Linked DNA regions of Arabidopsis thaliana. The protein of the gene in region 1 interacts with the protein of each later gene in a pairwise test. Each region holds a gene or a part of one and is shown on either strand. Other genes may lie near its edges.

Region 1 (7,986 bases):
GACGAGGATCTAAGAAAGATTGATTGCTGCAATGATGTTTCCTCAAAGTCTTCATCAGCCTTTTTCCTCTGTAAATGGGTACATTCTGGATTTGACACTTTCCTTCTTTTTCTTCTTCTTTGTATTCTGAATTTTTTTGTTCTTTTAAGGGAGTGTAGTTTTTCATTTACATGCCTAACGATGCTAACTAGAGAGAGGGAACCGAGAGAGTTGGGGGAAAGTAAAAAAAAAAGAATGGCTCAAGTCATGTAAAATTGTTTTAGGGATTCTGTGAGATGATGAAACCGATATCTAATTTCATTTTGTGAGTTCGCAAATGTGTGTTACGTTCTCTACCTCTCTTAATGATTCATGGTTGTACACAAATCCTCTGTTTATTTGTGTTTTCCGATATTTCGGTTTGCTTGTGTAATGTTGTTATTAGGAGTGAGGTTCAAGGCACAGTAAGGTGGTAGGAAGATCAAGTTTCTTTTTTCATGTTATGCTTTTCGTAGACAATAGATTCTTTGTCAGTTCTCTTTGGTTTGATTTTGACGCTTGAGACATTTTTCAGATAGGAACTGCTTAGACTAGCTGTTGGAATCAGAAAATGTCATTCTTTCGTGTCTGATAGCTCTTGGAATCAGAAAGTATCGAATCTTTCATGTTTGATAGCTCTTGTAGTCAGAAAATGTCGGAATCTTTAGTGTTAATGTTGCAAAGTGAAAACTGGCCTCTGGTTTAGTTTAGAACTGGTGGTAGGGCGTATTTGAGAGCCAAGGATGACACCGATTAATCAGAGTTTTTGAAATTTCCGGTGGTCTGAAAGTTCCTTGACCTGATTCGGTTAATGGAAACCGGTCTGGTTAGGATAGTTTGACATGGTTGAAGAATGATAATATTGATTTTGTTGTTCCCTACTATGAAAGTGTTTAGGACGCGTTTTTGTTTGGTATGACCAAAGATGAGCTGGTTTTAATCTGGACCTTATTCCGTTCACAGAATCTTCGGTGGCAACATGCTTTTAAAAATTCTCAGCATACATATTTTATACGTATGAGATTTATATTAAAAATATAAGATTAATGTTGGTAATGACCAATGATTCCAAGTACTCATACGCACGTAAAAGGATTAATGGATCAAGAGTCATGACGTTTTGTCTTTTAACTCTCCCATCTTTCCTTTTGCTAAAGGAGCACATACATGGAAGGAAGCATACACCAAAAGTTGTATATGATTGTTTGTTTTCTATAAACGACAACAAAATTTATGGTTCTTCTTCTTATAATAATAAGTTTAATGTTTTGCCATATTATGTAGAGTTTTGACCATACTCTCGTTTCGTAAATGCGTGATTCAAGACTTGGGCCTATGTAACGTCATTTCATAACCTGCGGATAATCTCAACATACAGCCATTTAGATAGTAATTGATTATTTGTGTCTGTGTTTACATATAAAACTTTAACTAATTGCGGATAATCGTATCCTTTGCCCTACAGAATTTGCAACCTAGTCTACTATTATTCCTCTGCATGAATGTTTTACATTTAAAGTAAGTTAATCAGAACATGGCCTTAGAAAAAATCTAGATTATATGTGTGAAACTATATAGATGCTTGCATCCTAAGAAACAAATAAATTATATATAACGATACCCCTCACAAATCAAGTCATGTTTTCTTTTGTTGCTATCAGCGACAGTAAAATAAAATCTGATTTCTTGAGAAAGCAAGAGAACACATACAGATATATCTGTCGGATCACTTTTTCTTGTTGGACCTAACACACATAGAAAAAGATAGAAAAAATACATATAGGATTCTGCAAACAGTGTCTTGTCTCATTGTTCCACGGAAATAGATGTGAAATGTGACTCTTCTTCAACATTTCACAGTTGTGTGTGTTGGTGCAGATCCATCATTGATGCCAGCTCTACTTAATTAGCTACCTGAGAAAATAAATTTAAACTAATTTTGAAACTATCAATAATTAGCATAGATCATAAGATTACGTCTGCAGATTAATTAATTACCAGTGTCGAGTCTTGAGTGGGAAGAAAGGTCAAGCCAAGAATCTGAACTGTTCTTGTTCTGTGCCCAGTCCTCACCAAAGAAGTGATGTAGAGACTTCTTGGACGACTCTGATGAATCTTTCTCATCTTCTTCTTGATTTTGATCTTGTCTTGATGAGTTTGCAAGGACACTTCTTGTAGGTTTGTTGAACATGTCGGCGCCCAAAACAAAACACTGTTGCTGTCTATGATCATGATCATGATGAAGATGTTGAGATGATGATGAGGATGAGTATGTGTGATGATGATCAATCTTATTATGATCAGTACTACAGTGGTGGTACGGATCATTCATCACTGTTGCTAACGGTTGTTGGTGATGATGGTATGGAGAATCTTGAAAGCTTCTAGATGCTTCTGGAAAGAACGTTCTCTCCCCAACTCCTCCAACTCTCTCCCCAATCCCTTGAAAGTACCTGAATTCAAAAAACAATCCATCAATAAAAGTTTCCATAAAAGATCAACAAGAGAAACTAAAGATAAGATCACAGAACCTGAAGTCTTTGTGGTCAGTAGCAGAGGCTAAGACATTGAACTGAGAAGTAGAATTAGTATTTTGATGAAGTGACAAAGCGGAAGCATGATGAAGAGTTTGTTGTTGTTGTTTGGGTGAAGTAGAAGGATAAGGATAATCAAGAGAATGGCTGTTGAAATAACCTCTAGTGTTACTACTACTTCCACCAAGCCCAAACCTATTACTGTTACTGTAGGCATCCATTGAAGAAGAAGAAGCAGAATAAGTAGTAGAAGAGGAATTAGAGGAAGAAGAAGAAGACAAGGTGGGACTTGGGTTGTTGTTGTTGGTGAATGAGAGAGATGGTGATGTTAAAGGAGTTGTTGTTGTCTGATTCTGATCAAGAGATTTTCTGGCACGGTTTCTTCCTCTGTGCATGTGTTTTTCACAGTACTTCGAATCTGGGTAAGCTTCTCTTGAGCATCTCCATTTCTTACCATCTGTTCTTCTGCATCTTCCTGGCTCTGGATCTGGTTTTCTCCCAAATCCCATCTGGTAACACCCCCATCCAACTGCATCATTTAATTAAAACGAAACCCTAAAATTAATCATGATGTAAAACCCTAATTAGGACCTTAAGTTCCAAAATCATTAAAAGTAAGACTGTGGAAACTGAGTTTTTAAAAGTGGTCGTTGAAAAAAAAAGCTAGAGACTTTAACCAGAAACCAAATCACTCTAAAACACATAAAGCTGAAAACTTTGGGGGCATGAGAATCAACAAAAGATTGAAACTTTATGCAAGAAAAGAAAACATGAAAGAAAGAAAATTAAGTATAGGTATAGGGCTTACGGGATTGGTGAGGAAGGAGTCTAGAGACCAAGGAAGTGTCCAAGCTTCTTCTAATGGAGAAGATGAGCTCAGGTGGGACAGGAACACCAGAGACCATGTACTTGTAGATTAGGGCTTGATGTTCCAGTTCTTCCCATTGTGTTGGTGTAAATGGAGGCCTTCCTATTGTTCTCCCGCTACTTCCACTTAGACTCATCATCTTATTCTCTAGCTTTCTTCAGATAGTTTATATATGTAGCAAATTCAGAAGCATAAAAGAAGGAAGAGAAAGAGCTTTCTTGATGGATTCAGAGATTAGGGCTCCTGAGTTTCGGACAGAGACAGACAAAGATGACCACTTTCTCTGTCACTCTTTTCCTCTGGTTTGATATCTCTCTCTCTCTCTCTCTCTCTCTCTCTCTCTCTCTCTCTCTTTCTAAGCATATATTCCTCAGATGCAAATTGCATGAACACTAGCTAGGTTCTTTCTCTACACGAGGCCACTCCCTCTTTTATATATATACCCTACTTTTTTGTATTGAGGAAAGATAAAAGATTATTACACAATAGAGATTACTATACAATTAGTCACACTCTAGTAGGGTTTATTTTGGGGGGAATGGTAATCAGAAAGTTAATAAATCAAAGAGTGATCACAAAGAAGAGAGAGATATTTAGACAGTGTTGAAAAGAAAAAAGAATCACATCAGGACAAGAGCTTTTAAGGAGTTTTGCCATGTAGTGTAAAATCAAAACAACATTAAAATATCCAATATTGTAAAATGTAAAAATAGATAAAATGTATGTAAGGGGGATGAAGAAGAAGAGTGTGGTCCTATAAAGACTGGCAAATCTGAAGAGACTCAGGCCCAGTGTTCCTGTTGCTTCTTCTGCAGCACTTGATGCTCCTGTCTCTCTGACTACTCTTTCCTCTCTTCTCAATCCTTTCTTCATCTTATTTTTCAAAATTTAAGTATTTTTTGAAATTATGTGTATTTTTTTCTATAAAAGTGCATTGATTTTTGGGAATCTTTTTTATTTATTTTTTCCTTTGAGCTGACGCCTTTTTAATTTCAGCTGTATCCCAACACTTGATGGCCTAAAAATGAGTGCCATTTACCTTTTTATTGAGCTCATTTTTTTATTTATTACATTTAGTGAGCTCTGTTATTACTGTCTAAAAGACAGAGGAAAATCAGATAGATGCAAGAAGAACAGATAGATGTTAAAAAAAAGAAAAAAAAAAAGAAGAAGGAAATACGAGTATTTATGAAAAGAATTCGGAATAAGCTTCTTGTATCATCACTGCACGAATCTCTGACTCGGGAGAAGAAACCAAACTTATATGCTGACTTGAAAAAGAGTAAGATTATTTTACAGTTTCTGACGACAATACAAAAGAGAGATTTTTACTAAATTTTCACATTTTCTTCTTAACATCTTTTACATAAGTTGGCAAAATGGTAAATAAGAAAGAAAGAAAAGGGTGTTTAGATGAGAAATAGAGAGCAGGGGAGAGACCATTGGATAAAGAAGGGGACTAGGTTTGTTTGGTTGCAAGTGAAGTGAAAGTACTTTTGTCCTTTTTATATAAAAAATGTTAGATATTTTGTCGTTTTTATTATGTATTTTTTTCGGCATTGGTTTTTACTGAAGAAAAGTTTTCGGAATAAAAAAGAAGAGGAAGACATGTGAAGAATCAGAAATATACAGAGAGGGTTGGGTTCATTAAGTGCATAGAAAAAAAAAAGAGTAAGACTGTTCACTCCTCTGTTTGTTTCTCTGTCTCTTTTCACATGCTCTGTCCTTTTCTCTCCTTTTTTTGAAGCCCCCTAGATCTTTCTCCTTACACACCTACTACTACTATCTACCATTCTTTTACATGCACATCTATAAAGGTTTTATATCTTATGTACATATACATGATACATACATATACATGAGCTGATGAGCATCGACTTTAGGGTTTGAATGATTTTACATAGTGGATGAAACAAACTAGTACAATTGATAACATTGCGTAATAGTAGAATGATGGGATATAGTAAAAAAGTTGATAATTATCGCGATTTCTACAAATTTTTGTAATTAGCAAATACTAATTCAATCATTTGGCGATTACAAATTATATCCTTTCTTCAGTACAAAATAATACATATGTAATTGGTTAATATATAGCTAGTGAAGATCAACCCAAGAAAATAAAGATGGTTACCTTGCGATGACCACGTACTTAAACAAAATGGTGTTCACGCGATAAACCATCATCCTAAATACTTTTGATTATATACATCACCTTCTAAATTGGTTCGAAAATGATATGCATGCGTATATGGAGATATGTAAGATGGTACCTACACATATTAGTTAGAGCTCCACTCTTGTTGGTTGGTCAAAGATATATATGATCATAATCATGGTGATTAAGCTATGAAGAAGAAGGTGGAAAGACCTTTGGACCAAGGGATATTTCCATTTTAGTGCATAAATTTCCATTTTAGTCACTCATCTGTATCATCATCATCTATTCTCTTCTTGTTTTTATTATGTTTTTAGCGAATTAATTAAAATGAAAATGAAGAGTTAATTCAAACTTTTACCAAAAAAAGAAGAAAATGGAGAGTTATAAATGGGTTATATTATAGGAGATGATGGGTGGGTAAATGCAGATATTATAGGGCAAGAGACCTACCTCCTTTTCTCCCTTTGACTCACTTTTCCCTATTTCTTTTTTCAGTTTCATGACATTTACAATTGACATGTTAATACTATAGCCTATAGTCTATACCCTAACCATCTTTTAGGCCTCGAGGGTTCTTTACGATATTCTTCGTTTTATATAAGGGAATATAATACTTTTGCTTCATCATCCATCCAATCACATAAAAATCAACGATTTACGAATATATATATGAAACATTGCTATATTCCACGTTTTTTTATTTACTATATATTCTACGTCAAAAGAATTATCTTGTTTTTTTTTTGAGATGATTATATCTTCTTTTTTTTGAGAAAATATTTATTGCTTTGTTCCGGATATATTAATCTCTCCCATTAACGAGATGCTCACAATCGTTTTTTGTAATGTTTCATTCTAGTGTGCACCGCATTCTAGTTTGTTTTCTTTGTTCTTTTTTTTTGTATTTATTTATTACTGTGTTATACGAGCGATTTGGACTAAGATCATGGTAAGAATAACTATTGGCAAAAAAAAAAATTACCACGATCGTTCACCAATCACGATTCACAAGGCGATATTGCCACGATTCACATTATTTGAACATACAATTTTTAATCAAACGAATTTATTAAACAGTACAAACCCACGCAATTAATTAACTTTACAACAAACCAACCCACACAATTGCCAAGATTCACATAATCAAATGCATTTATTAAACAGTTTAAAAATAACCCATAGAATTAATAAACGTTATAACAATGTCCTTGGGAGACTTTTATTCTAGTATCACTTTCCTACATCAAGTTCCAAATTCATACGTGGGTTCGAAACACGGGTTCCTTCTCTTCTTAATGGGACCTCTCCCTAATGGAACCGTCGCCGACGTGGACAACAACAACAACACATGAAACAAATAAGCCAACCTATAAATCGAACAAGTTGGATTAAAAGTATCAAAACAGGAAATACAACCCAAAATCCCACATAAATCAATAGTATATAACGAATTATTTGATCGTCGGATTGAACCAGCACGATGGCGAAGAAGAACGCCGCTGATATACAAAGAACCGCCACCACCATAAATGTTCCGAGGATAGCCATTATCATCCGGTTCCTTCATATACACAATTATATCATCATATAAGTGTCTTTTAGTTTATTCTAATACCAAACAATTTCTCTACTTATTCTGAGTGTACCAAAATTCCATTAGATAACTATGATATATGTCATCAACTTTCCATAGTTTTAAAGTCCAATCAAATAGCGATCGAATTAGTATTTTTACCAATCAGACCAGTTTTGTTGAAATAGCTAATGTTAAGTCAACCATTGTGCCGACATAGTTGGTATACTTAAAACCGAAAGTCAACACCAAGATCTCAATTTAGATGACTATTTTTAGTTCTCAGTAATATCTTGTCAAACACAAGCGTTACATAAAAATTCCAGACTTAACATACAAACAAGTTATAATAATTTACATACTAAGTAGCCTTGTTATATGGAGTTGCACATATAGTTTATTTATTGGTACCTTAGTCGTATACCGCTGATGACAAGGAGAATGAGACTCATTGAGGTAGAAAATGACACTGTACTGCTAATAATCATCCCAATATACGCTATACGCTTTGAACTCTCATATTCCAATACCGCAGTTCCCGCTCTCCCCTTACAAAACGGTGCGGTTCCGGTTTGATTTCCGAAAGAACAATTGTCACTTTGCCATACGCCACCGGGAGGATTAACCATAACTTGAAAGCTCATACCGGCTATAACCGTAGCTGTAACCATAAGATTCCCTCTAGTTTTCTCTAACCAATCGCCTTGACGTTTTAGATACTTTACGAACCACTCTGATGATGATTCTTCGTATCGATGACCTTCTTGACCGTTGATCTCCATGATTTGAAGCGATGAATGCTTTACAAAAGAGTTATAATTCTTAAAATTTA
Region 2 (8,835 bases), on another chromosome or scaffold:
AAAACCAAAGACCCTTAACTGCACAAACTCTTATGAAACACTTTGGTGATCACTTTGACTAGATTCTTCACCTTCTGCTCAAATACTATATAAAACTTCTGACTAAACTCATTTACATATGCGTAAAAGAAACAAGAAAAGATGAGATTGTTTTCACCAAACTTGAAAAGAGAAGAGAAATAAGCAGATACAACTTGAGAGTTTTTGTTTTTGCAGATTTGGGGAAGTTGGTTTGCTTGCAGCTGGCTTTGACCATCAAACTTGTTCGAGGAGGAAAAACTTCGAAGTGTGTCCTCCACTTTTTCCTTCAACTATGACCTTGTGGCTCGTGTAATGGTACATTACATTTAAAGAGTTATTGTCTTTGTGCAGATTCTTTATGTTCCAGATTGAATCAAGAAACTTAGACCTAATTGTGTTTTGATATGGTCTGGATCAACTTGTTGACTAGTTCAGGTGATGCTCCAGCTACTTCTTGTTTGAAGTTGAAGAGAGGTGGGAAAGGCCTTCCATTAAGTAAATGAGCGTTTGGTTCTCTCAAGAATGTATGTAAAAAGAGAAAAGACACGAACCTTGTGCCACAGATGTGCCTTTATCTGCGGAAACCTGAAATCTGTGTAATGCGTGGATTCATACAACGGATTTCTTCTCGAATTGGTGTACCAAGAACCTATGTACAACAACTTCATACAATGAGGATTTTGTAGCCAAAGAATGTAATTTGCAAGGAACCATTGTACAGCATTTTCTCCGGGAATTAATGGCTGCATAAGAACAATGAGTCCTAATGCGAATAGAAGACAAACATTCAAAAGAAAAAACCAAAGACCCCTTAAACTGCATAAACTGCAGAGCTCCCTCTTATGAAACGAAACACTTTGACTAGATTCTTTAAACGCAGATTTAGAAACACCATTCAATGAAGCAACTTGAAAACGATCATCGTATTGAAATTACAATCTACTAATATCTCGAGTTTGTGATAGAAAATTGACACGAATACTGATTCTATACAATAATGAAACTCATGACTAAATCTCTGCAGCTAACTAAATGATGATCATATCTGCTGATGAAAGCATCTTCACGCGACTCTCTTCCTTAAATCTTGCTCTCTCTTTAATCCTTTGAACCTCCTTCTGAATCTTCTCACTCCCCATCTCTTCCTTCTCCATCTTCACTAATCTCTCCCCACTAATCTCACCAAGTAACACTTTCCTCCTCAAATCTGGATTGTTACTATCTCCCATGTTGAACAGAATAGACCGGTACTTTGCTTTTTGAGGTCCCATGAAACAACCTAAGTTCTCAAACATTGCAGTTTCCACAGATACAGCCACAACCCAAGGATCACAAGCAGTCACTCGTGTCTTCATCTCCGTGTCAACAACCTCAGAAGCGACTTTAGCCAAAGATGTTTGTAGAATCTCACGCACTTTGTCTCGCTTTGAATCTCCAGTCTTCTTCATCGTTGCGTGCGTCGGGATCTTCACCGCAGCTTCTCTATTATCACGGCTCTTTTCTCTACCTGAAGCGTAAAAAAACTTCATCCAAAGATCCCGAAGAATCCTTCCTTCCGATCGAATTTTAGGGTTTTTGTGATCGATGAAGAATTCCAAACCCTGCCCCATGGAGGTTTTGCAGACCACGTCACAAACAAGTGACTTGGGTGCTTCCTTCAAACGATTCATGGCATCGACAAACCTCGATACCTCTGGAGAATTCTCATCACCTTTCACAGACTTAGCCGCTCTAAGTGCTGCCTCGAACAACTCCATGAACTCACGCTTCTGCATCCTTCTCTGTTTGATCGGTCTTTTGTGTACGTACGTGTTTGATCTCTCGATAATAACTAGGGTTTCAAAAGCAACGAAGGAGAAGAGAAATTAGTAAATTGTTGCGTATGGTCTCTCGATCTATCTGATGTTGTTTATATAAAGACTAAGAGTCCAAGACCAGATAGGTTTTGTTAGTTTCGGATACTTTAATTGCTTGCTATCAAAGCCTTTCCCAAATATATTTTTTTTCTAAAAGGAGATGAATTTAACCTGATATAGGTCCCGCCTTTAGAAAATGTATGGTCTTTTAACTTGAACTAACAGATATTTAAAAAAAAAAAAGAAAAAAAAAGTCATGTAATTTTCTTTTTGTTTTAAAAATCCAATAAGTAATTCAATATCTGAAATTCTGAATTAAGAATTATATATTTGTAAATTTTCATTATTTAAAAATTTCTTCGAATCTTAAAACATATAAATACATAAATCAAATTTCCATGAGAGATAAAAAAAATTCACTTATTTATTTATAGGGTATTTATATGAGTAGCGAGATATTATTTTTGTAATGATTCGTGCAATTAAATTGAGTGAAAATTTAATACAAATATACTTATGCTTAAAGCAAAACCATGTATCCATTCATGAAGTGTTTGAAAAAAAAAAAAAGTGTTTGAAAGAAGCTCCTCGTTGAAAGAGTATCACTTTGATTACATTCTTCACCTTCTGCCCAAACTTTACTATATAAAAAAACTTCTGACTAAACTCATTTACATAAGGGGGAAAGAAAGAAGAAATGAAGCAAAGAGGAGACTGTGTTTTTCACCAAACTTGAAAAGAGAAGAGAAATAAGCAGATACAACACTGGAGAGTTTTTGTTTTCGCAGATTTGGGGGAGTTGGTTTTGCTAGCAGCTGGCTTTGTCTGAACGAGTTTGAGGAGGAAAAACTTTGAATTGTGTCCTCCACGTTTGCCTTCAACTACGACCTTGTGGCTCGTGTAATGGTACATTATATATAAAAAAGTAGTTGTCTTTTGCAGGATCCCTTTTAAGTTCCAGATTGATTCAAGAAGCTTAGACCCAATTGTCTCTTGATATGGTCTGGAATCAACTTGTTGACCAGTTCAGGTGATGATCCAGCTACTTCTTGTTTGAAGTTGAAGAGAGGCGGGAAAGGCCGTCCATTTGGTAAACGAGCGTTTGGTTCTCTGAGTTCATCAAAGAACGGATGTGCACAAGCTTCGAGCTGAAATACGAGGAAACAAAATATATAGTAAGGATTCAGTTGGATTCTTAGAGACTGAAGAAACCTCAAGACCAATGCTTACCGCTGTGCATCTTAGACTTGGAGAGTATTGAAGCAGCCTTGATGCAAAATCAATCGCTTCTGGGGGCATCCTTTTGTGGAAGATCTAAACCAAAACGTAATTATGATCAGTTGATGTGTGAAGAAAGAAACTGAAACAAGAACACATGCAAAAAGAGAAAAGACACTAACCTTGTGCCAGGGATGTGCCTTTATCTGTGGAAACCTGAAATCTGTGTAATGTGGATTCATACAACGGATTTCTTCTCGAGTTGGTGTACCAAGAACCTGTGTACAACAACTATACAGTGAGGATTTTGTAGCCAAAGAATGTAATTTGCAAGGAATCATCGTTTAAAGATTCTTACTTTTATAATTTCAACGAGCTGATCCACAGCATTTTCTCCGGGAAATAATGGCTGCATAAGAACATGATATAGTCACAATGAGTCCTAATGCAAATATACACATGGAGATTGAATAAGCTGGTTACTGAAAGAATTGTTTACCTGACCAAGAAGAAGCTCAGCAAGAACACAACCAGCAGACCAGATATCAATAGAAGTTGTGTACTCAGTGGCACCAAATATGAGCTCGGGTGCACGGTAGAATCGTGAGCAGATGTAAGAAATGTTGGCTTCACCTTTAACCTGAAGCAAAAGTAAATTTCAACAGTAAATGACAAGATCACAGAAAACAACAACCGCTACAAGTCGAATGAGTTTATATGTCACAAAGTCTTACGAGCTGTTTCGCACTGCCAAAGTCACAGATTTTGACTTGATGAGTAAGAGGATCAACCTATAGAAAGAGACCAGAAGAGATACATTAAGAACGAAAGAAACAAAGGCAAGAAAAAAAACAAAGAGTTCAATCTTAAAATGTTACACATACCAGAAGATTTTGAGGCTTTAGATCTCTGTGACAAACTCCAGCAACATTGTGAATGTAAGCAAGTCCCCGGAAGATCTAACATAACAAAAGGAAGTAATATCAGCCTAAGAACAATCTTATGTACATCAACTTTGGAAATGGAAGATATGAATGTGTGTTGTTATTACCTGATACATGTAAAGTTTAACATAGACAAGAGGCATTCTTTGGTTTGCACTACTATAATGTTTCAGAACTCGATACAAGCTCTCAGGGACATACTCCATAACCAAGTTCAAGAAAAGCTCGTCTTTACTTGTAGTCGAAAAGAAGCAATGCTTCAAACAAACCACATTCGGATGATCCATCACACGCATCAACTGAAGTTCTCGGTTCTTGTATCTTCTATCTTGCAAAACCTTCTTTATCGCCACGGTTTCTCCAGTCTCCAAACATTTTGCTTGGAAAACGATCCCGAACGAGCCTGTACCAACAACTCGCTCCGCCATGTAACTAATTGTCTAACAACAACATAGAAAAATGTATTGGTAACCATCAAAATCTTGCATATACATAAAAGTGAGTCTATTTGGTTAAAAGCCTTAAAAATACCTGTTTTGGTTCACCATTTTTGCCACCGATTGTGGTGGAAATAATATGACCAGTGACTTGATCATGTCCATCAACTACAGCAGCAGGCATCTCCTGAAAGAGAAAAGCTTTAATATCAGCACAAAACCATTATCAAAAGCTAAAAGAATAATGCTTGTCTGAGAATCAAAAGTCTAAAGAAGGAAACTTTTATCCTAAAAGAGTGGTTACAAAATAACCGTTACGCAGAGTGAATCTGATTTAGTTAAAACTAAAAATATATACTTTTGTCACGCCAAAAGAATGGTAAACAAAACAAATACATATAACAAACCAAACAAGGACTAATCTATGTTCAATTATGGATCTAGCAGCTTGTATAAACTCTGGATTAATCACAGATCGAGATATATAGACATGGATCATCCCAACAGAGCTAACTTAGAAAATTCTAAGCTCAGAACTCAAAACCCTCAGAGATCTCAGGGTAAGTCAAAAAGTTAACGAAAGCTCAAAACTTTGGACAAACCCAGAACTCAAAACCGTTCAACTTCAAGAGTACTAACTAAACTAGATTTATTATCACAAAACATCTGTAAGAACAGGAATCTCAAGACAACTAATTGAAGGGTCAAATGTGGAAAAACCAAAAAACAGGATCTTCTTCTTCAAAAGACAGCAAAAGGAACACAAGCAGCTTTACCTTATCATCAGCCATGGCGATAGAGACACAGAGAGGAGAAGAGAAAAGAAAGAGAGAGAGTGGATTTGAGAGAGAGAGAACAAATGAGTTTCAATCAGTTTGGTTGGTAATGATCATTGTGGCGATAGAGAGAGAAAGGGAAGCCGCAAGATGAGAAAAGAAGGAGAGAGAAAGAACAAGACCATGTGAATCCAGCTCTTCTCTTTCTCTTTCTTTATCTATCTACTACTTTCCGTTTTCTTCGCCATCTTCTTTCGTGTTTTTTATTTGTTAAGCTACAATTACGTAAACACCCTTGAAATTGCTGGTTAATTACGCAGACACGGACTCTTTGTGGAAATTTCGTGATCAAAGGGAAGGCATCATGTACTTGTCGGTCAAATTTGAATCATGTATTCGTTTGGTTTAAGGTCTAAATTGACATTTCATGTAATCTCATAAAATGTTAGAATGCTAGAATTGTCAATGTCTCAAATTTTCACTATCATAAAGTTTATAAGAGGACTGAATATTTATCATATTCGTTGTATTTAGTTAATAAAATGAATGTAATATCACTCATTATTGTAAAAAAAATCAAAGATTAGTCAATACAAGTTAGTTTTACATTATTATAATTTGTTCACAAGTTCGACTTCAAGCAATCTCGTTATCTAGCGTTGTAAAATTTTAGTAATGGATACTTGATCAAAATATTATCATTCCAATTTCATATAAGAAATTACTTGCAATAATTTTTTTTCCAGCGGTGACTTATATATATATTCCAAATTTTGGGTCTATTTTTTTTCTTAACACAAATTTTGGGTCTATTTTTTTTCTTAACACAAATTTTGGGTTTAATAATTATATCTAAGGTATGTGTATAAATAGAAAAGATAGGGCATGATGAAATTGGAACAATATTGTCAAAGATCCAAGTTTGACCATTTGGTGGGAAAACTTCTTTTTTGACATTGATGAAAGAAAAAAGCATTTATGTTTCTTTGGGTCTTAACTTTTTAATGTTTTTATTTTATAATTAAAATTTTAGACTTAAAAATGAGCTTTAATTATTACCTAATAGTGTAGCTTTACTTATTGTGTTTGTTTTTTTCTTTATATTTGTTTATTTATTTTTCTGGAAACATCAATATTAAAATCAATGATGATAATGATAGCAGTCCTAGCATTTGCAGAAGACAACAAAAATAATATTAATATAATTTCTTTTTGTTCAATTATGCATGGGACATACATACTTTTGGCTGTATGGACGGATTTACATTGCATATTTGTGAATTATCTTCAGGCTCAATTATTTAAATGTCGATATGCGTATTATCCAATCGTATATACAATAGCAACTAGATTATAAATGTTCATATACATTCGGTTTTAGCTGAAGATGTTAAATTGTCAATGTAGTAACTAGTAATTAAGTTGTTATTTTTCTCACAAAAAACAAAGTTTAAGTTGTTATGAGTGTTTTTGGTTCTATAGAAATTAGAAATGATATTAAGATTGTCCCCAAAAAAAAATGATATTAAGTTATTGTATATCTTTCTTGTTTCATTGTACGGATTAAACAAATCCCACGATTCTTGTTATATACAATAGTGTAATACTATTGGAGTGTAGGAAAATGAATCGAACCAAAAGCGGTCTCACTCAAGAAGCTTTTAGCCCTTTTTATTTTGGTAGATAATACATGTTTGTAAATAACTACATTAGATAAAAGATTATATAAATATATTTCTGTAAGGGATCTTGAATAACTCTTGAGGTATGGGAAATCACAATAACGTGCACCATGTGACTGAGGTTCGAACCAAGGCAGAGAATGAAGAACTAATTATTCATAACAGTCATTGACGATATATTTAATTTAAAAGATTGATAACATGAAAATGAGAGGCAAAGTTAAGTATAAAGACGAGAATAATGATTGGGTTTGTACGAAACGGAAGAGAAAATCCTATAACAAAAATTCTTTTTCCTAACTAACAGCCAACCGTCGGCAAAAAGAAATGAAAAAATTTGCAGGTAACCTCTTCATAAATCATAACTTCTCGAAGCATATTCTTGCCATTTCTTCAAGCATTCCAGCTAAACTATTGTCTACCTCCGTTAGTTTTTTTTTTTGTTTTTTTGATATATGATTCATCAGTTGATCCAGTTAGTTTTACTAAAAAGTTATTGAAGTATTATAGAATTGATTTTCTTTCCAGAGGCCTGAACGATAACCTCATTGTATAACCGAGTTTCAAATGTTTTTCGACTAATGTCAAGAAATCGGTAAATTGCATGTCTAAGTTAATTTTGCTATTGAACTTGTTTCTATATGATTATTATTGTAACTTTAACCTCAGATTATCTTTGGTAAAAACAATATACATTACTTTTAATATATATTTTTTTTTTTATCAAATTCTTTAATCTTATTATCATTAAAAATTATATAAGCAAAGATTAATTTGTAAAGCAGACTAATTTTCAAACACACAGAAAGTCAGTTTTCTTACGTTAAAGACGTCCATAATAGTTGAAAACCGGTGTCAAAACATTAATTTAAGATACATTACAACTTACAAATGTCATAACGTCTATGGTATACAAATACAACATATAATATAATTTTGAACATATATACGCAATAGTTATGGACAATCCCTACAATTTGAACCTATATTTGATAACGTAATATATACAAACGTATTTAATCACATTTGAATTCAGACTAATCTAACATTGCGAAAGTATGAATATAGTTTACAAATTCAAGTAATTTGCATTTACTTCCTACCATTTTATTTAGTTTTAAAGTCTTTAGACCATACTACGAGTACTAGAAAACTATATATTTGAAAATGAAGAGATTGAATAAATATTTGTGAGGAAATGAAGATAGAAATATTGACGGATGGGTTGGCAGTCGGTGGGAGAAGGTGGGCTAGTCAAAGCTGCAAACTTATTTAGTCAAACTTCTTATATAACTCATCATCTCTTTTAGCCTCTCTGTCTTTATTATTTTTCTATATTTTGTTAATATTTTTGTGGATGGTTCATGCTGTTTTGGAACGTACAGTCCTTAGAGTGCACTTCACCGTTATGATGTTCACACTTTTCAGGCTTCGATTGGAACTTTTAGCCCACCATAACCAAAGCTTATAAACTAGTGGAGAGAATGGGCTTTTATAGTATAAGGCTCATAGATTTATACAATCTTCTCTGTACGTTACAAGTCTACAAAGAGGAGTTAGGACTTAGGCGAGTTTGTTAGTTAGATTCTGGCACTTTGTTTAACCATATAAATGTTTTTAAAACCCTATACGGCTATATTTAATTCTATCTAAAGTGGTGAAATATCCCTCTTTTTGACAAAATCTAAGATAAATGATTCTTTAGTTCGTTTTCCTCGGTTTCTTTTTTTGTTAGTTAATTCACTTCAGCTGACAACTAGAGTTTAATAAAACTTTGGACATGAAATAATATCAATATTTTGTGTTCTTATTCAAAGGCCCATTTATAGTTGCAAAAGAAACATATAGGCCCATATATATATCTCTTTTGAAAAATGTTCAAACGCAACATATCGGACGTG
Region 3 (6,541 bases), on another chromosome or scaffold:
CGTGCTATTGAGTTTCGTGGAGCTAAAGCCAAAACCAACTTCCCTTGTTACAACATCAACGCCCACTGCTTGAGTTTGACACAGAGCCTGAGCCAGAGCAGCACCGTGGAATCATCGTTTCCTAATCTCAACCTCGGATCTGACTCTGTTAGTTCGAGATTCCCTTTTCCTAAGATTCAGGTTAAGGCTGGGATGATGGTGTTCGATGAAAGGAGTGAATCGGATTCTTCGTCGGTGGTGATGGATGTCGTTAGATATGAAGGACGACGTGTGGTTTTGGACTTGGATCTTAATTTCCCTCCTCCACCTGAGAACTGATTAAGATTTAATTATGATTATTAGATATAATTAAATGTTTCTGAATTGAGTATTATTTGATCATCATCTAAGTAGAAGCTTTAAGTTTAAGTGGTGCCAATAATTTTTTTTTTTTTTTTTGGTCATCAGCAGATAGTTTTAAAGAATTTTTTAGTGTTGAGATCGTGTTTCGTTCAGATCTGCTGATGTTCTTTTAAATATCATTAATGATAATCCTGATCAACTAAAATGATACTTTGTTTTGGTATTAATCTCTCTGATGAACATATAAGGTTGTTGATCTTATGTTTTTTACCTATATCCAATTGGATTTGAGGAAATAGTAGGATTCTTAATTATTTTTTTAATAAACAAATATAATGGAGATAATACTTTATTCAGGATAATGAGATTATTGGTCAAATATAAAATTTGCTGTTTTGAACAAAAGCAATAATAAGTTATCTTGCTCGAATCAAGGAACACAAGCTAGGACAAGAAGCTCTAACTTTTCTTTGTAAAATTGTTAAACATAACGGCATTAGTTGTAAGAACGCTAATTTTTTTTTTTTTTTTAATTTATATATATATATATATTTTTAATAAATTATAGATAAGCAATCTATAATTTATATTATATTCAAAAACTAAAATAATAAGTTATCGTTTTGTTGTATTGTTTCTTGTTGTTATGGAAAGTGGCATTCGTAGATATCTTATGTTAATCGTTGTTTTAAGAAAAATATAGATTGTTTATCTAAATTGTATTTGGGTGTAGTCTATACCGTGTATAACACACTATTTTTTTTTTTCGTTAAAACTCAATTTACCTGAATTTTTTTTTTTTTTTAATTAAGATGAAATTTTGTATATCGATAACTTATATGATCATTTCTTATTTAATTTTCATTTTTGCCAATATGGAAAATGAATTGTACGGTTTTCATTCTTAGATTATAATATTTGTTATCTTTTCTATATATGAATGTACGATTTTTTATATGCGAATGTATTTTAACTTATCATTGACCAAAAGTCTATTATAGAAAAATAAAACATAGATATTGTGTCTTTTAATATATCTAAATAAAGAGAAAGTCATTTATACATGTATAGTTACTTATTTCTCCTAACCCATAATTTTTCTTTTGGACAAACTCCTAACCGATAGTTTATACACGTTTTGGTAGGAACTATAAATAGGTCGAGTCGTCGAGAGGTTAGCCATCTTTCAGATACTAATCTTTGGATTTCCTCTTTATTCTATATCAGTTTGGGGAATGGAAACTTGTTGGGGAAAGCCTGACATTAGATAGAGGCGGTAGTCTCATTGCTAAAAACATAACGTCTGATTATCGGCTGCAATCCTATATGGATACTGGCCATTTCTTATGGTTAAATGTTATGTTCTGCAATGAGAGAGTTTTGTCCTCTATGTGAGTATCAATTTTTTTGGCTTGAGAGATTCATAGGGAGCCTTATTTTTTGTACTGGCCAGAGAAAGCTTGTATGGTCGATTTGTATGGGTGAAGTTAAGAGTAGTGTAGCATCTAACTGTCTTTTGTATAAGTCGGATCAATAATGGCAAAATGTTAGATGAATACAGTAGTCCATGAGTATAGGTTTGCTCGATATATATCTCATTTCCATATACATACTTTACCTACAATATCTGTATCAACGTTAACAAAACTGAACTTGGACCTCGATTGCTAAACAGCCCATCAATTCTTTTGGCCCAAATATTAATGTTTATTGCTCCCCCCCCAAAAAAAAAGATTACTGTCAATTGTCAACAATGTCCATTGCCTTTCAATTATCTTATATAATATAACTAGATTTCAATTAGCTTATATAATTTTTTTGACAGAAATAATCTTGATTTTCTTAGCCTATCAGTTCTATATCAAATCTCAGAAATCCTTCATTTTGAATTTGTTGATTCTCGGAGATGAAGAAATCAAATGGGATACATAAAACTAACGATTAGTTCCTCTTGAATTTTTTTGAGCTAAAGGAATAATTTTTGAAGAGATTAGCCTTATTACCTAAATTCATGGGTTAAATAGGCACACAATATACTCACATAGAGCAAAAAGTTAAAAACTCAGAAATTGTAAACCAGAAACCAATAATTTCCAAAACCGCGGATAGTTTGTTGGGACTTATTTTGGACACATATCTTCGAACCATTTCATACACACAAAAGGCATTATTGATTATAAACCTCAAAAATTGATGGTCGGCCACTGCCGCCACACTTTCAAGAAAAATAGCACTAAATTGTTATAAGACTTTTTTGTTTGTTTTGTCAAATAATTATATAAACCTTAGGTATAAGGTTTATGAAAACGACAAGAGACACGCAAGGAAGGACTAAAATAAACAGTTAAGCCCATATAAAAAAAAAGTAATGTAGCAACCCAAAGTTTTGAATTGATTTTTCACTAACACAAGCGATATCATGCGGCGGCGCGTGGGGTCTCTTTGGCCAATTTGGTAAATTCAGTTGCACCGCAGAAACACATGCAGAGGTTCGTCGTCATAGCGAACATATGTTTAAATTCAGATTATACAACTGGTTTATTAGGCCTAAAACATAAATTTTTTGTTAGGTTCTAAATATTTCTTAAATTATAAAATTTGTCGCTAAACTCTTTTTGTCTTTCTCTTGCTAAAAGCTACATGAGGTCGATTACAAATCGCTTATGAAATACGATAAAAAGAAGTTGCAACGAAACTGTTAGAATTTGATCTTTTATGAAAGCAATATGCATAATGCATGATCTTTGTTTAGTCAATACATATGTCTAAGTGTCTAACACATGTAACAGTTCTATGACTGTTTTATAGTCTCATAAAACTACACGATTCCGGTTCTACATATAAAACATAAACATAAAATCTTCACAATCTGCATGAAAGTTTTGATTTCGCTACGTGAGATCTCCTTTAGTTAATTAATTTGACTTCTTATGATATTTGATTATATCAAACATGTTTGTTTCATTTACTACTGAAATTTGCGTTATTTTAAGACTTCTGTAGATAAATTTGTTATGTGAATTTGATATTTATCTATATAGGACCGTCAAAAATTTTATTTATTTTATATTTTTAGATGCTTCTATATATATATGTATACACGCATAACATATATAAGATTGGTAAACATGAGCAGAAAAATTATAGGACAATTAAACTTCCTCTAATTTTATCAGAAAACTTTTGTTCGAATTCATATGAAAATTTTCAAAATAAATAAAAAAATACAATTTATTTACAAACTCAAGACTCATAATACACATATCTTGTCCGTAAGTGAATAAGCCAGTCCAAACTCACACGCTTGCTCAGCATTTACGTCTCTCATTAGTCTCTATCTCTTTTGTTTGTTTCCTTCTTTTCTCAGTCCGTCTTTTGTCGTGATTTAAGAGAGAGGCGCGTGAGTCAAACAGGACACTAGCAAAGCAAACAGCTGCACAAGTCAGTCCGTACTTCACGACACGCCATAGAATACGATAAGATTTTTAAAACCCCCTCGAAACCGACATAAGCGACGGTCGTAACACGATCCACAAACATAATTAGATCCACGTTCAGACGTTGTTAAGTTTTTGTGTTGCTAATTAAGAAGTTTCTTGTTTTTTCCGCAACATATGGATCTCACAACAACAATCGATCTCCGACTCTTACATAACGAACAAAAGAAGGATTAAATTATAAAAACAAGTCTACTAACTCTAACAAAAAGATACTATTTGCTAAAAAAAGAAACTAAAGTAGTTCCACCGAAAGTGGTCTCAAACGGCGCCGTATAGAAAAGTAGGCAAAACGGCGCCGCTATATCCATCTTTATCGTTTGTTTTCAAAGCCAAAGCGGCGGAGGCTCGTTGAGGTCAATGGCTAAGCCACGTCTCACCGTAACAGGGGAAGGAGAAGAATTCATCATCGGAAACCCAACCACTTGATAACCAGGCGATGACGTGGCTGTGTTAGGCGAGGAGGTGAAGTAAAGCGGCGCTTCTGTAGAAGAGTAATCTGAAGTTTTGTCGTTTAGCACACCGGTTCGGAGAAAAATGCGGTGGTGTTGGTGATGATGGTCGGAGCTTGGAGGAACAGGAGGAGGCGCAGCGAACCAGAGCTGTTGGTGTTGGTGGGGTTGGTTATTTGCGGCGGCGGTTGCGGCTGAGGGAGCGGAAGGGAGGTGGTTGAGGTCGAGAGAGAGAGGAGAAGGGAAGTTAGTTTTGGCTTTGATACCACGGAGGAAACGAGCAGCGCCGTCGTAAGCAAGAGCAGCTTCTTCGGGAGTGTCGAAAGTGCCTAACCAAACCCTAGTTTTCTTCCAAGGATCTCGTATCTCAGCAGCGTAGCGACCCCAAGGTCTCTTTCTGACTCCTCTGTAATGCACCTCTCTTGCACACGTCGTTGACGCCATTGTTAGACTCTCAAGAGGGGAAATATGAGAGAATCTAGAGAGAAAGTGGAGAAGAGAAGAAAGAGGTTTTGCTTTGTTGGCTCGTTTGACCCAAATGAGAGAGAGAGTGAGTGAGTTTAAAGAGCAAGAGGTGTGTTTGTAGGGCCGCTTGAGAACACCCGTAATCCTCGGCTTCTTTTGACGATTATCTATCTTTATTTGTTGCCTATACGTAATATATATGGCAAGTTAATAGTAAAAACAAAACTGAATAGTGTTTGATTTCTAGGATCGAGGTTTTCTCTGGGGTTTGCAAGAATCAAGCACCGTTCGATCTTTTGCTGTTGGGTGATGTGACGGTGGTATGCTGAGAGATTGTTACACGTGGGTGTTCTACACCAAAATAATGTTGTTTTAATAAGTTGATGTATTTGAAAAAATACAATAGGATTTCTCATAAAGTGAATACTTCTAGTGGTGAGTGGACTTATTCTAGGACATGAAAGAAAACAATGCTAATCATTCCTTTGAGTGCTAATACTGTTTTCTTATCTACCATTTACAACTTCTGTTATATAAAAAAGATTTGTTAGGTAATGGTTAGAAATAAAATATTTTAGTTCTACTCTCCAAACAACCTCATTACCGTTGTAACTTATGGTAAATTAACTCATTACTTGCTAGTGACGATAATGCCATACTATGAAATTTATGCTATTATAAAAAGAAGATAGAAAGATCATTTTTGCATAGGCTCTCCAAACATTTTTTCATAATTCAAGTACTTTGTTTTCGATCGTAACAATCTCGATGCTTTTTCTCACAGCAACCATTGATACAAAATGATCAAAGAAAAAAGAACTAAAAATAAATAATCTTGTACATTTACGAAGAGGAAAGAAAAATGGGCCGCCTCTTTGACTGAACCTGTGGCATAGGGATGCTGACGTAATCCCTAGTACTGATAATAGCCATCTCTCTCTATCTTTTGTATCTTTCACTCTATTATTTGACAAGTATTTAAATGCTCTCTTTTGGGGTTTTATTGGCACCCATATATATTTATGATGCACGAGGACAAGGCTACAAGGAGATCATTAAATAAAGTTACTTGACACAACTACTCTATCTTTAGCTCTGACTGATTTTGTTTTTCTTTTTGTCCAAAATTCATTAGCCCATCTTATGCAAACTTACTATACTCTCTAGTCTATACTAATAGAGTAGATTACATAGGCTCTTTCTTTTCCCTCTAAAAAGTGACGTAGTTTAAGTCTTTATATTGTGTAAAATATATAGTAATCATAGGAGTCAAAAATTTATAGCAATTGAAGTGGCTTATAATTTTCAGTAATAGACAATGAATTAAAACAAATTAGTTAGAGGTTTTTTGTTTTTGTTTTATCAACTGAAGTTTTATTAGATTAATTTGTCTTTTAACTTCTCTATTTCTTGACATTTTGTAAGATGTTTTTGTTTGGTTTTAGGGTTATTTAAAAATAAATAAAAAAATCTGTGTTTCCTTTCACGTGACAAGGCTTAGGGTCTGTCGTTTTGATTGAACAAATGCATTGGTCCATATCTAACAAAATTTATACACGTGCGAACTCTGATGTCTGACTTCTCTCTCTCTGACATATCTAATTATTTAAATTAACCCTACCTATAAGCACAGTAAAAAAAAGAGAGATACCCCAAAGCTATATAAGCTACTACAGTACTAATAATCATTTTCAAGAAATATTTTGGAGAAAAATGTGAATGTGGCTTTCGTGTTCACGTGAGCCTGTGATACATAAGAGCTTTATGACGTGTCTTTGTAGTAGC
Region 4 (6,981 bases), on another chromosome or scaffold:
ACTGTATTAGCCTGCATGATTCATTCAGCCATGTCAGAAAATCCAATATTGAGTGGCAAAACATAGAGCCTGTATGTATGTAAAACAAACGAATCTCTGACCTCTAGAAACTCAGCTTGGGAGAAGCTTTTGACGAGTGTGGTGGTCTTCCTCTTCATCTCAACCTGTGTTGCGTTTACTTGTTTCTTCTGAAATGCGATCACAGCTTTCACAAACTCCTGATAAACTAAAGCGCAGCCTGGATAATCAAACTCATCAGAGCCTGGAAGCCTCATCCTCTCTGGATGAAACTGCAGACCCATCAAGAACTGACCTTCCTTTGGATCATATCGATTCGGATCATAAAATCCTTCAATCAAACCATCAGGAGCATAAGCCATCGGCACAAAACGTTGAGCCAGTCTCTTCACACCTTGATGGTGATACGAGTTCACCATTATCTCCATCTCCTCGAACAACTTATGTAACGGAGTCTCCTCCACGATTCTAGCCTCGTGTCTGTGCCCATCGTAGTTGTCATAATCTATATGATTTGTCGTTGTCATCGTAGTTCCGAGTTCTTTGTCGATGTCTTGGTAAAGAGTTCCACCTGCGGCAACGTTGAGAATCTGAGAGCCACGACAAATGCCTAAGAAAGGAATGTTTCTTTCGAGACAGAGTCTAGCTAGAGTCAGCTCAATGCTGTCTTTCTCTCGGTCGATGGTCATGTCCTCTGCATGCGCCTTCTTAATCTCCTCCATGTCTTCTGGCGAGAGGTCTGATAATTCATCGTCCGCGTAGAGAGAAGGATCGACATCTTCTCCTTCGCAGAGGAGGACACCATGAATAGGCTCGAAGCTCTGGAGCATAGAATGGATCCCATTGACACGTGGGACAATGACAGGGACGGCACCGGAGGAGACGATGAGATCGAGATGGTATTCTCCTACGAAGTCCACGTACTTGTTCTTGCGGAGAGTCCGACGAGAGACGATGAGAACTCTGGGGAGAATCTTGGACGAGAGATCATTGGCGACAACCATTTTTATGTAATAAATAAATCTCTTCTTCTTGTTTTGTCTTGTTTATGTCTTAATCCTCTCTTTCTTAATTGGATGGTTATGTCTTAGTTCTCGTTCTTTATTTATAGATTGGAATGGAGGCGTCGAGGCGCAGCGTCCACTCAAAGCTGACGCACACTTTTTATTATCTGTATACGTTTTTGGTCAAACCTTTCCTATTGCCTATTGGATGCTGAGATGGACTTCTCTGGATATTCCAAATTATTCCTTCTTTTGATTTGGTTATGTTAAACAAAAAAACGTTTTCTTAGTAATAAATGGATATGGATCAGATTAGGTTCTTAGGAGGATTAGATATGAATGGATGACTCATTGACTTGTAACAATATTAAGCATGCAGAGCATATACTGTATATGTCTTTATTTTATACTATATAAATGCATGTCTTTCTGTATTTGGAGGGTGTTGAATTAATTATGGAAATCACGTCATCCTAATCAGCCACCGGTTCAGTCACTCTTACGTGTAAAAGATAACGTCGTAGACTTTCAACAACTCCGTATGAATGAAAATGTAAGAAAAAAGATCGAGGTTGTCGCCGGAGTTGAGCTCTCTTGTCTTCACAAGGCCTTCGATATCCTACTCATTTTTCGTTTATGCGGATTATGAATTGAAAAGTATGAAAGATAAAATGGCAAATTCACCATCGTAATTACACCACTATATCTTAAAACTGGATGGTTCACAATATCTTCGTATCATGGTAAGACGAGAATCCAGACGTAACATATCGGAGCTCTAGTGATCAGGATTTCACCGAAAAAAGTAGTTCGTGGTTCTTTCTTTATTTCGAATATAATCGTATTCAAAGTTACATTTACCTTTTCTCTTTTGTTTCATTTCCGATTCAAGGCTGACTTGGAAATTATAACAAAGAGTGAAGAAAGAGAGAAGCTAATATTAAAAGGGAAGTACAGCATCGTTTCTTCTTGTGATTCTCAGCCGCTCCACGCTTTCTATGAACTCACTGTCATTTACAAATCACAACACATGTAAACGCTTTATTTCAGTAATCTACAAAGAAAGTATCAAGAGCTTACTTCCATGGAACATCCCCAGCATTTCTCCACAGACCTTCTTCGTCTCTGTAGACCAAACAGAACTCAGACTCCATCTGGAACAACCTCAATCCCGACACACTCTGCATCCCTACAGATTGTAATGAACATCCGGTATAAGCCTACTAGGAACATTACTACTTATAGTACTTACTCATCTTTGAATCCCAAGCTTCCCATGAAAAACTTACCAAACATGTCCTCGAGTTGATGAGCAAGAGTTGAATAGCTTCCATGATCAAGAACACAGACCTTGCGACCTACCACCAAACCATCCATGGTGACCTTTACATAACCCCACTTCCGTCTGTATCCTTCATTACTACAATATCCTTTGCCACATGTCATAACTCATAAGTAAACACCGTCTCAGAGTTGAAAAAATTTACCAAGAAATTAAAGGTAATGGAAATACTAATGGAAACGGCAAAGAAACTCACTTTGGCCAGATGAGTGGTAAATCTCATGTTGTATGGTTCTCAGGCTGAGACCTAAATCGATTACGCCACCAAACTCCGTGGTCTGCGAGTAATATGGATGATACTTGGGAGAATTTGGGAAAACACCGAGTGGGTCTGAGTCCATTGTTGGTTTCTATAACAAATACATATTCAGCACATAACAGATACATAGAAAGGTGAGAATGATGTTGATTTATATCAAGCAGCTAAGGCTAAGAGTGTCAGGAGAGTTAAGAGACATCATTGCAGACAGGGAACAAACAAAAGACAAGAACACATTACCTTCCAGGAAAGGATCAGTTTGTGGTCTTTTTGTTGTTTGTCTGATGCCACTAAGTGCAAGGGATGGGGAGGATCGCTGCAATACATCTGGTCAGCCAACACAAAAACCTGAAATTATCGTGAAGTCAGAATTGTACTATACTAATCACAGCAAGCACATCTCTATCTAGTGAAGTGTCTCAATGTTATCAGAGAGTGTTGACAACTCATTGTCTCAAGTCAAAACCTGTAATCACTCAACATCAAACACGTTACAAAAGAAATAGGTAAGTCGTGCTAGAGAATTCTGTACCATAGAGAATCCAACGAATTAATTTATGGACAAAGAAAGAGAAGAACTAGGTATGGTCTTACATGATGGTGGAGAGACAATATCTTTCATGAAAGAGAGCTCTGTTGTTTAATACTAGACAATTCAGATCTATCATTACATCATGTATCCCACACATTATCTGAGAAGTAGGGCTGTGTCATTAATGGATCTAAGACAGAAAATGTACACATAAATCCATGTCTATACAATTGCTCTCATGGATAACTCAAGTCCTCCAAAAGAAGCAAAGCAGTACAAGAGAACACACCAGTTCTTCTAAAGATAAATGTTCAAATAAAAAGCTCGTTGCCATAACAAAACAAGGGAAATCATCACAGTAGACAAGAGCTTCCAGCATCTCATTCGATGCTTTTCCTAATTTACAGGTGTATGACTTGAAAAAACTGCATCCTAAGCTCATGTACAGTTTGCCCAGATACTAAATGTACGTGTCTTAAACGGAAATGGCATCCTTTTTAACAGGCGCTTCTGAAACACACTTCTTCGACACCACCTTAGTGCGACGTCTACAATCTACATGTGCTATAGCATGCAAGGAACAGAAACTCCCGAAATGTTTCACTTATGCGGAATCATGGTGGCTAAGAAATTCAGTTATGCAAGGATAGACTTGCTCCACTGCCTGCAGTAAGTTGTCAGAGAAACGATTAACAAACGAAACAAGCATGCACATGATACAGCATTGAACAAAGTTCCAACATAGGAGGAGACCTAGAAATGACTGGGGAACAAACATACCAGTCGTCCTCCAACCAAATCATAGTGTGCATAATGTGGTCCATCTGGTTCTCCAAGTAACTTATAAGTGACCAAGTTCTCCGGAAACAGCTTAACAGTGTCTGCCATATTCACAAGCATTTGTAATTAGTCATAATGGTGAAAATGCATGTGTGAGTAGCTTAAAAATTTATTTGGTGTGTGTGGAAAGTATCACAAAAGTTAATCCATCTACGCCTTATACAGCCTCTCATAACTCGAAAGAATTCAGTAACAGCAATGTAGAATTTAAAATGAAATGCATATCTGGGTAAATGAATGGTTTCATGTATATGCTAGAGTCATCTATGCAGAATTTCATAATAAACATTATGTTAGTATACCTTCCACAGCCGCAGGGGGGCAGATCAAGTCCCGATCACCTGCAAGAGCTAAGACAGGGACACTGGTTCTGGGAAGATGATCCTTATAGTAAAATTTACCACTACGATCACGTAAGCCTCCCTCTCGAAAGGCCGTTGTCAGCTGAATAAGTAGTTTTGCAGGTATGGTACCTAGATGTAAGAAAACAAAGAAACTCTTGAAAATCACCATAAAGGGAGCAATTACGGATTGCAAAAAAAGTCATGGTACATTCAAGCATCTAATAGTAACTGTTCCAGCATTTTCTTTTTCTTAATGAAGATACGTTTCTTTTCCACTTAAAATACATTAAGAACTCACATACTTAAATGGGATCAACTGTTTTTACTTACAGAAGTTATTCAAGACAAGCTTTTCTAACATTTCAGGGTGCATCATATCTGTTGATGATATCAAATCATTAAGCCAAGATAATACATATGGAGGACGTGTCGAAAGAGGAAAAGCGGCAGCCAACAAAGCACCCAGAGGAACAACTGGAACACTCAGAGCTTCTGCAGGATTGGCCTGTAAAAGAAGTATCTAGTAAATTAGCTACCAAAGATATTTATGGCACATCAATTCTTGTCAAAGATTCCTGCGCAGAGTGATATAACATAACGACACGTACAAGAGGTATGAGCAATTTGAGTGCAGAATTTGAGGTTGTGTAATCAACCGATGATGCCAGAGTTGCCACAGCTGCCACGGAAGGTTCTCGTCCTTCAAAAGCTAACAAAATAATAGAGAAGAAATGAATTTCGGCCTTAATATATGAGCCTCTGTTTGAAAGATGAATACTAACTTACCACAACGTGATAGCATTGCATAGAGTAGGATACCCCCCATGGAGTGCCCAATTGCGAATAGTTTGCCGTCCTTGGGCTTGCTTTGTGCTCTTACATACTCAATCTATAGCAAACCAAAGACGGACACCCAATTCAAACAAAATTCAGACACGATTATGCGAAGTATTCAGCAAGATCAACATTGCCTCACCGCAGCAGGGACATCCTCTTCCAGGTAGTGATCAAAATCCCAGTCATATTTAACTATCAAATCCAGTTGCTTCTGAAAATCTTCTATGGTCGCAGTGAGGCGCTCTTGTAAATCAATCAGCGGAGGCGAGACAGACCTTTGACCATCGTCGAAAAGATTCACAAGGCGCTGAGCCAAATCTCTGACTTGGTTAACAAGTCCTGAGTTTTGCTTTGACTCTATCAAACTCAAAAGCTTCGATCTTATATCATTAAAGCGCTCGTACAGCTGTGTATCATCTACAAGCATTGCAATTTTGTCAAACAACTTAGCAGACATGAACACAGACTGACCTTCACTGAGAAAGCCAGAAAGTCTTTCTGACAAACTCATGAAAGTTGATGTCAATCTCGCCACAAGCTGTGACTCGTCCCAAGCCGATGCTTCGCCAACAACTGAAACATCCGACGCTGGTGCAGGTGCACTACTGTCCATAATATCAGTAGTCTGCTTTTCATCAGAACAAGTTTCTTTACCTGCAGCAGCTCTAGCAGTAGATTCTATCTGATTCGACAATTCATGAGCAGATTCCTCAACGTCCTTAAGATCAGATACTCGTGTACTCAATCCAGCTCCACGAACCTCGAGAATCCAAGTCTCAAATCCCTGTCCAGACATATGCCTTGCAAAAGAGCACTGCAATGACATCAACGAAGATTTACTTGACATTGATCAACAATAAATCTACTTCCTCATCTAAAGATACACTAGTACAATGTAGATCTTGATGATAAAGATTGACATTAAAAACGATGAAGGTAACATACACCAGGAGATAAATCATATCCGATGGCATTAGTTCCTACTCCAGACAACAGTAACAATGGATGATTCCTCGTCGGAGCCTAAGAGAAGAGAGAAAATTCTTGATCACAAAAAAAAATATATAATCCAAATTGCAGATACAGAGAAAGGTGATTGTTGAAATTCGAAAACCTGAGGAGGAGGCAAGTAGCGCCAGAGAGCGAGACGCCAATCGGTGTTAGGAACGGAGACGTAATGAAGCTCGTCGGCGGTGCAAAGAGAAGGTTTCGTGGGGAGCTTAACAGAGGAAGAAGAGAAAGCTCTCGGTCGTAACAACGTCGTTCGGTGACGAAACGAAGGAGTAGTAGTGACGGTGCTGATGGAACGGTGGAGATAGACGGTGGAGGAAGCCCGGCGAAGAGCTGAGCGGATCTCCAAGGGAAATTGTGGAGGCATGGTGGACATGGTACGGACTCTGGCAGATTTGGAAAAAAACAATGGTGGCTCGGTTTCACTCCGGCGTGTTTTTAAGGATCTTCATTCATTTTCCGGTACACGTGGAGAGACGACCAGTGATGTTGATGATTGACGAAGACGTGACTTTCTTATTTTGACCGCAAATATTTTGGGCCAGTGATATTGCAAAAGCCCAAATTTACAGTGAGAGTTTTTTTTTTTGTTTCTCTGGCCTTTGGTTGTGCGTTGAAGACAAGGAAGGTATTAGTGTAAAGCAAATTTTGTCCAATCATCTTGATTTGGAATTTAAGATGTGTTATCTCAAAAAAATATCAACAAAACCAGATTATATATCACTGATAATGAAACTAAATTTATAATGTATCTAACTAAATAGCTAAAAATGTTAATATAATAAGCTATCATC

The links.
Region 2: the proteins of GRF5 (region 1) and BIN2 interact in binary tests that used the Arabidopsis thaliana proteins (3 or more experiments, as listed by UniProt).
Region 3: the proteins of GRF5 (region 1) and ERF12 interact in binary tests that used the Arabidopsis thaliana proteins (3 or more experiments, as listed by UniProt).
Region 4: the proteins of GRF5 (region 1) and IAA34 interact in binary tests that used the Arabidopsis thaliana proteins (3 or more experiments, as listed by UniProt).

What each region holds. Positions count from the first base shown.
Region 1 is NC_003074.8:4,604,099-4,612,084, reverse strand, and holds GRF5 (growth-regulating factor 5), read right to left. Parts: upstream 4,010-7,986; 5' UTR 3,560-4,009; coding exon 3,361-3,559; intron 3,082-3,360; coding exon 2,550-3,081; intron 2,472-2,549; coding exon 2,017-2,471; intron 1,933-2,016; coding exon 1,925-1,932; 3' UTR 1,588-1,924; downstream 1-1,587. Other genes in the region: AT3G13950 (ankyrin), read right to left, coding at 6,890-7,142, 7,566-7,936. UniProt on the Arabidopsis thaliana protein: Transcription activator that plays a role in the regulation of cell expansion in leaf and cotyledons tissues.
Region 2 is NC_003075.7:10,292,906-10,301,740, reverse strand, and holds BIN2 (Protein kinase superfamily protein), read right to left. Parts: upstream 5,604-8,835; 5' UTR 5,268-5,603; coding exon 5,253-5,267; intron 5,216-5,252; exon of another isoform or gene 4,664-5,215; coding exon 4,571-4,663; intron 4,480-4,570; coding exon 4,147-4,479; intron 4,055-4,146; coding exon 3,980-4,054; intron 3,887-3,979; coding exon 3,830-3,886; intron 3,736-3,829; coding exon 3,595-3,735; intron 3,505-3,594; coding exon 3,454-3,504; intron 3,374-3,453; coding exon 3,278-3,373; intron 3,192-3,277; coding exon 3,108-3,191; intron 3,026-3,107; coding exon 2,828-3,025; 3' UTR 2,352-2,827; downstream 1-2,351. Other genes in the region: AT4G18720 (Transcription factor IIS protein), read right to left, coding at 513-670, 1,154-1,796. UniProt on the Arabidopsis thaliana protein: Negative regulator in brassinosteroid signal transduction pathway important for plant growth. May be also involved in auxin signaling pathway. Phosphorylates and increases the degradation of BZR1 and BZR2/BES1 by the proteasome.
Region 3 is NC_003070.9:9,950,128-9,956,668, reverse strand, and holds ERF12 (ERF domain protein 12), read right to left. Parts: upstream 4,908-6,541; 5' UTR 4,736-4,907; coding exon 4,166-4,735; 3' UTR 3,564-4,165; downstream 1-3,563. Other genes in the region: ERF11 (ERF domain protein 11), read left to right, coding at 1-318.
Region 4 is NC_003070.9:5,180,294-5,187,274, forward strand, and holds IAA34 (indole-3-acetic acid inducible 34), read right to left. Parts: upstream 3,121-6,981; 5' UTR 2,951-3,120; coding exon 2,864-2,950; intron 2,737-2,863; exon of another isoform or gene 2,715-2,736; coding exon 2,561-2,714; intron 2,453-2,560; coding exon 2,312-2,452; intron 2,212-2,311; coding exon 2,103-2,211; intron 2,030-2,102; coding exon 1,963-2,029; 3' UTR 1,698-1,962; downstream 1-1,697. Other genes in the region: GAT1_2.1 (Class I glutamine amidotransferase-like superfamily protein), read right to left, coding at 1-11, 102-1,022; AT1G15060 (alpha/beta hydrolase family protein), read right to left, coding at 3,760-3,819, 3,936-4,036, 4,298-4,468, 4,670-4,844, 4,948-5,048, 5,126-5,228, 5,316-5,990, 6,122-6,199 and 1 more. UniProt on the Arabidopsis thaliana protein: Aux/IAA proteins are short-lived transcriptional factors that function as repressors of early auxin response genes at low auxin concentrations.